Sus scrofa: one gene and its partner. The protein of the gene in region 2 binds, or shares a complex with, the protein of the main gene of each other region. Links are inferred from orthologs where the notes say so. Each region holds a gene or a part of one and is shown on either strand. Other genes may lie near its edges.

Region 1 (3,245 bases), on a different chromosome or scaffold from region 2:
CTTTCAGCTATTATTTCTTGGAGTATTTTTTCTGTCCTCTTCTCTCTTTTCCTCTGGCACCCTATAATATGGAGATTGGTGTGTTTAACGTAGTCCCAGAGTTCTCTGAGACTCTATTCATTTATTTTCAGTCTTTTTTCTCTTTTCTGTTTGCATCTGTAATTTCAACTTATCTGTCCTCTACCTCGCTTATTCGTTCTTCTGCCTTCTGTATTCTGCTGTTGGCTGCTTCTAATAAATTTTTAATTTCAGTTATTGTCTTATATCTTGTATCTCTTTGCTCAGTGTTTCCTGTAAATTATTCATCTTTGCTCCAGTTTATTTCCAATGTCTTGTATCATCTTCAGCATCAATAGTCTAAAGTCTTTTTCCTGGAGGCTGAGAATCTTATGATCACTTAGCTGATTTTCTGGGGTTTTTCCTTTCCCCCTCATCTGAGTTATAGTTCCCTGTCTTTTCATTTTTATAGGTTTTGGTGTGGTGACCTTTTTACGGATACTAGAGTACTAGAGTCTCGTAGCCTCTCATACTTCTGGTGTCTGCTCCACTTGTGGCTGAAGTCAGTATGGGGGCTTGCTGTAGATTTCCTGATGGGAGGGGCTGGTGCCTGCCCACTGGTAGGTGGAGCTTGTCCCTGGTGGGTGGGGCTTTGTCTCTGGATGGGATTAGAGGCAGCTGTGTGCCTGGGGGTCTTTAGGCAGCCTGTTTACTGAGGGGCAGGGCTGTGATCCCACAGGATTGTTGTTTGCCCTGGGGCTTCTCAGCACAGACTGATGGTGGGGCCAGATTTTCCCAAAATGGCCACCTCCAGAGAAAGGCAGACTGCTGAATACTCCTGAGAGCTTTGCTTCCAGTGTCCTTCCCTCACAATAAGCCATATTCACCCGTTTTCCCAGGATGTCCTCCAAAAACTGCAGTCAGGTTTGACCCAGATTCCTATGGAGACTGCTTTACCCTGGGACCCAGTGCACGTGAGTCTGTATGTACCTTTTAAGAATGGGGTCTCTGTTTCCCCAGTCCTGTGGAGTTCCTGTGCACAAGCTCCACTGGCCTTCAATGCCAGATGCTCCAGGGGCTCTTTCTCCCAGTGCCAGATCCCCACATGTGAGAGTTTGATGTGGGGCTCAGAACTCTCACTCCTGTAGGCGAGTCTCTGTGAACGAGTTAGTTTCCACAGTCTGTGGGGCTTCCCACCTGGGAGGCTTGGGTTGCTTATATCACATAATCACCCCCCTACCTCTTGATGTGGCCTCCTCTTTGTCTTCTGGAGTAGGATATCTTTTTTAGGGTTTCCGGTCCGTTGGTTGGAGATTGTTCAGCCTTTAGTTGTGAATTTTGTTGATTTTAGGAGAGAAGTTAAGCTCCAGTTCTTCCGTTTGCCATCTTAATCCCATCCGGGTTATTCTTTTTCTTTAGGATTGTTTTGGCAATTTTGGGTCTTTTATGGTTCCATATAAATTTTAGGATTACTTGTTTTAGCTCTGTGAAAAATGTCACAGGTAATTTGATTGGGATCACATTCAATCTGTAAATTTAATCAGGTACTTGGCTATGATTAGGAGTCATGTGAACAGAAAGATTCCTGTGCTGGTGGAACTCGGGTCCCAGGAGTGCTGAACACTCACAGCTCTGGAAGTCCTGCTGTTGTATTTTCAAGTATGCATTGCAAATTTCCCAAATAGCAGGTGGAGCCACACTGAAATGCAGCCATTTCAACCAAATCATCTGTACCCTAGATAGTGATTCTTCAAGTCTCCCTGCGTGTGTACCTGAGTTGAGTGACCTCACTTGTGTTAACTTTTAAGTTTCACAGTAAGCACCCCATAGGGCATCTGTCTACTTTTATTTTTTGTTTTTGCTTTTTAGAGCTAGGCCTGCAACATATGGAAGTTCTCAGGCTAGGGGCTGCTTGGAGCAGCAGCTGCCAGCCTATGCCACAGCCACACCAGACCCTTAACCCACTGAGCAAGGCCAGGGATCAAACCTGCATCCTCACGGATAGTAGTCGGGTATGTAACTCACTGAACCACAATGGGAACTCCTGTCTGCAGTTTTAATAAACATGAATTGAGGAAGGAGTGAAGGTAATGTCATACTGTCTTACCATTCAGGTCACATCTGAGTATCAGTTTTGATGAAGCAGTTATTAAATGGCCAATTTTATTTCTTCATTTCACCTAGGAACTAATCTGGCAAAGTGTGATCTTTTTATCCACTTTCCTTTCAGGTGGCAATTGTTGTATTAGGAAACAAAATTGATCTTTCTGAGCAAAGACAGGTGGACGCAGAAGTGGCACAACAGTGGGCCAGGAGCGAGAAGGTGCGGCTGTGGGAGGTGACAGTCACGGACCGGAAAACTCTGATCGAGCCGTTCACTCTGTTAGCCAGCAAACTCTCCCAGCCCCAGAGCAAATCAAGCTTCCCTCTGCCTGGGAGGAAGAACAAAGGGAACTCCAGCTCTGAGAACTAAAAAGTGGAATGTCACAATCATTTGCTGAATAGTGACTGCCTTTAGGTATCTGTGAACAAACATATTTAAAACAGGACATGTCTACCTTTGGTCTTTAGAAAATCCCTAGGGAATTAATTTAATGCACTTTAGCTAATTAAGTTATTATTGCCTGATATGAAATACTATACTAGCATTCTCATTGTTTGAAACTTGTCCCTGAAACCAGCACCTTTGTTACATTTATGTTGAACTTGTCAAAAGAATAAAGTTTGAGTGGTATGCAAATATACTTGAGTAGCTCTCTTTAACCTGTTTCAGAAGCTGTCATTTTGTATAACTAACTGTGGAAACTTAGCTCCAATACAGCTTTGTTTTTTACAAGTTCACGAATTTTTTTTTTTTGGGGGGGGGGTCTTTTTGTCTTTTTAGGGCCACATCTGCAGCTTATGGAGGTTCCCAGGCTAGGGGGTCTAATTGGAGCTAAAGCTGCTGGCCTATGCCACAGCCACAGCAAAACGGGATCTGAGCCACATCTCTGACCTATACCACAGCTCATGTCAATGCCGGGTCTTAACCCACTGAGCAAGGCCAGGAATCGAACCCACATCCTCATGGATGCTAGCTGGGTTTGTTAACTGCTGAGCCACGACAGGAACGCCAAGTTCACTAATAATCTAACATGTAGGATTATATATTGACATAGATCATGAACAGTAAACAATGTGGACACTAAGTTAAGCTAAATTGTATCTGGTAGAGATCTTGATAAACAATTCAGCTTTGTTCAAATTAC
Region 2 (3,653 bases):
AAGAACTTGCACAGGGAGGAAGGCCAAGGTCACAGGCTGGCTGCTAGGGGCTCCTCTGGCCCTTCTGTTTCTTTCTTTCTTTCTTTCTTTTTTTTTTTTTTGGCCTGCACCCCTCGCACATGGAAGTTCCCAGGCCAAGGACCAAAATGGTACCACAGCAGTGATCCAAGCCACAGCAGGGACAACGCCAGATCCTTAACCCACTGTGCCACCGGGGAACTCCACGGTCCTTCTGTTTCAAATGAACCACCGATCACATGCCTTTGAGAGAAATCAGCTCCACACAAAGAGATGTCAGGACCCCTAGCTGATGGCTGAGGTTATTCACAAAGACATCCCAGCCCCAAAAACAACAGTTTTCAAATGCTTTTGAATGAGTCATTTTCTTCATATAATAGCTAATGTAGACTCTCCCCCCAAAAAAGAGGTTGAGGTTAAGTATTTTTGAGGTTGACCACAGGCAGAACTGGACAGGCTATGGCGGGAAACAGATTTGGCTGGTGAAAGGCAGAGTCAGCAGGGAGAAGCAGCTGGGGAGAGCTTTCGGGAAGACCACGGCCCTGCTGTGCGTAGGAGAGCTGCAGCCACTGAGAATGCCCACATTTTGGAGGTGCTCTCACAACCCCCAACTTAACCTGCCAAGAGTGGCATGCACGACAAGGCCACCACGCGCAAGGAGGTACCTGGTCCTCGCTGGTCAGCCCCAGGTGCATGACAAGGTAAAAATGCACCAGGAAGTCCGAGTTGGGCAGGACGTCCTGGCGTCTGGTCATCATGGCACAGATCAGCTTGTAGGCTTGGAGTTTGCCTTCCTTATACTCGTTTGGCAACGTCGTCGCCTGCCAAGGAGACGGTTAGAGATTTAATCAACTCCAGATGCAGATGCGTTTACTTCTCGGTTTTCCATCAGTTGTTTATGGAGAGGTTTAGGGGATGCAGTGGCTTGAGCAAGACCCAGCCTGTCTTCAGAACATGCAGTCTGGGGCAATTACATTTTTTAAACTCAATTTCAGAAAGGAAGAGGAAATTACAGTAAAGAGATAAACACACATTCACTTGCCTTAAATAGCCATGATGCAAACATTCTGAGTGGTGGGATCAAGGCAGGAGGAGATGGGGAGGACTGGTTATCCAGGCTTATTGCTAGGTTATCCCGTATCTAAACACAAAGAGGAGAATTTTAGGGGATGCGACGCACTTAGTTTATCCCAACGATACTTTAATACTATGCTCCGTGGTCAAAGCGCGGCTTCCAATTAAACTTCTGCAAGTTGAGTGGAAAGCTAAAGTATTCACAAGTTTTTCTTTTATCAGGAGACCTATCACCCTTTTGAATTATGTGGTGGTTTTAGATTTAATACAAAACTAGGGCATCGTTTTTCCTTGAATCTTAATGCCTGGAGAGGCAGTCTTGAACTCCAGGGATAAGGATGGTTTCACAAATTGAACTGCATAAACATGAATTATGTTTTTGAAAAAAAAATGTAATAACACAGGGAAAATGAAGGTTGTAAACAAGAGCCAGAATGAAAACTGTATATAGTCTAAGATTCTACTTTTTGTATAAATGTGTTTATCTACAAGCTGCACTCACAGCATATGGAGGTTCCCAGGCTAGGGGTCCAATCAGAGCTGTAGCCACCGGTCTACACCACAGCCACAGCAACACGGGATCCAAGCTGCATCTGCGACCTACCCCATAGCTCACAGCAATGCCGAATACTTAACCCACTGAGCAAGGCCGGGGATCAAACCCGCAACCTCATTGTTCCTAGTGGTTAATGGATTCGTTAACCACTGAGCCACGACGGGAACTCCGAAGATTATATCTTACTACTGGTTTTCTCTGTGGACAGTGAGGTCAATTTTCCTCTCAGCATTTTTCTACATTCTTCAAATTTTGTATAATAAAACTAGCATCGCTTTTATAAAGACAGTAGACTGCTGAATAATATCCCATTCTTTAATATCCTATAGTAATAGTCTACTTAACGCATTAAATGGAATAACTCCGAGGCATTTATAAAATGACCAAACTATACATATCATTATTTATTCTTTGACAGGCAAACGTACCGTGTCTAAACACTTCAACTTTTGTTCCAGCATATGTTCAGAAGTTACATGCAACAGTTTTTATACTAAGTGATAAATCAAGTTTCCCATATTCGAATAAAAACAGCAGGACGTACCTTTGCTAGTTTGTACCAGAGTTCATAGAGATAGCCAAAAACCCTGGCGTGGATCTTGGGTGACTGGATATTATTCACATCTCCAAGGATTCCCAAGACCCTCCGCCAGAGCACAGCGGCCGAGTCTGGGTGCCACCCGGTGAGGGTCCCTCCGGCAATGATGCTGCAGTCGTCTGCGAGGCACTCGCTGCTGTCTGCAAAGAAAAACATGCATTAAGCCTGTAAACACAAGTTTGATCTCCTCATTGCTGCCTTTTGTCCTGAATGCAAATTACTGACGCTTGAAAACGTATGTACTGAAAACGTATGTATTCAGATGAAGGGTGAAATGGCTGACACCTTGGAAGAGGAGTGGGAGGGATGAGGAAAGGTCAGATGATTCCAATTCTTCCAACTGAAAGGGCACCTCCCTGGAGATGGCAAAGCAGTCCCTGCAGAGGGCTGTGTAAGCAAGCAGTGCAGGAGAAGGAGGACCTGCCAAGAAAGAAGGTGTCCAGGGAAGGAAGGCCTCATGGCTGGAGGGACATCTGTGGCAGTCATCACTGTTAATTAGAACAAATTTTATCCTTCTTGGATAAGGAGTTTTAAGAAATGCATACGGTTACACTTAGAATGGATAAGCAATGAGGTCCTACTGTACAGCACAGAGAAGGACATCCAAGCTCCTGAGACAGACCACGATGGAAGATGATATGACAAGGGGAATGTATGTACGTGTGTGACTGGGCCACTTCGCTGCACTGAAGAAGTCGGCACAACACTGTAAAATCAATTATACTTTGTAATAAAAAATGTACGTCAAAAAGTGCATATATACAGTCATGTAATTATCACCATAACCTGCCACCATAATTGACATGGAACAGCCTCATTGCTCCAAAAGTGCCCCTTTATAGCTAGTCCCCTCCTGCTAACCGCTGTCCCAGACAACCACTGCCGTTCTCTGTCCCTACGGTGCTGCCTTCTCCAGAAGGTCACATGAATGGAGCCCTTAGAGTAAGCAGCCTTTCTGTCTGGCTTCTCTAACTCAGCATAATGCATTTGAGAGATTCAAATTGTGTGACCACAGGCATCGCAGTGGACCCATCCATCTGACAAAGGACACTTGGCGACTTTCCTGATTTGGGGGACTATAAATAAAGCTGCCATAAGCAACTGTGCAACAGGCTTCTACATGAGCATATGCTCACATTTCTCCTTGGTAAGACCAGAATCACAGGACGGCGCAGGTAATTTCTCTGCTCATGCCTTCCTTTGAGTGGACCACACTGTCTTCAGGTATCTGAGCATCTTTGCTCCCTGCCTTGTAAATGCCCAGTTTGGCTGGGTACAGAATTCAGTGCTGGAAACACTTTGCTCCACTTACCTACAGTTTTCTTCATAATTTTAAAGGCAATTGCATTCTGATACTTGAACATTTTTTTGCTCTGACAACTTGAGCATCCTCTATTGACACCTGGT

The links. Proteins that work in one complex are often made in the same cells at the same time.
Region 1: the proteins of RALGAPA2 (region 2) and NKIRAS1 are in contact, whole or in part, in a crystal structure (PDB 9QU1), measured with the Homo sapiens proteins. The link is inferred for Sus scrofa from reciprocal best matches to the Homo sapiens genes RALGAPA2 and NKIRAS1. Residues at the interface, in NP_065076.2 of Homo sapiens: Pro20, Lys21, Tyr51, Ser52, Gln53, Phe56, Tyr59, Glu60, Ile63, Arg99, Phe102, Arg103, Trp104, His105, Tyr106, Gln107, Ser108, Lys185, Ile186, Tyr187, Pro188, Glu189; in NP_001364280.1 of Homo sapiens: Lys6, Glu22, Leu24, Leu25, Tyr26, Glu34, Met39, Glu40, Asp41, Val42, Tyr43, Met44, Ala45, Ser46, Val47, Glu48, Lys54, Gln56, His58, Tyr60, His74, Tyr75, Ser77, Phe78, Lys108, Thr162.

Annotation. Positions count from the first base shown.
Region 1 is NC_010455.5:10,685,976-10,689,220, reverse strand, and holds the end of NKIRAS1 (NF-kappa-B inhibitor-interacting Ras-like protein 1), read left to right. Parts: intron 1-2,227; coding exon 2,228-2,470; 3' UTR 2,471-2,741; downstream 2,742-3,245. UniProt on the Homo sapiens protein: Atypical Ras-like protein that acts as a potent regulator of NF-kappa-B activity by preventing the degradation of NF-kappa-B inhibitor beta (NFKBIB) by most signals, explaining why NFKBIB is more resistant to degradation.
Region 2 is NC_010459.5:28,557,178-28,560,830, forward strand, and holds part of RALGAPA2 (ral GTPase-activating protein subunit alpha-2), read right to left. Parts: intron 2,387-3,653; coding exon 2,193-2,386; intron 1,160-2,192; coding exon 1,061-1,159; intron 840-1,060; coding exon 684-839; intron 1-683.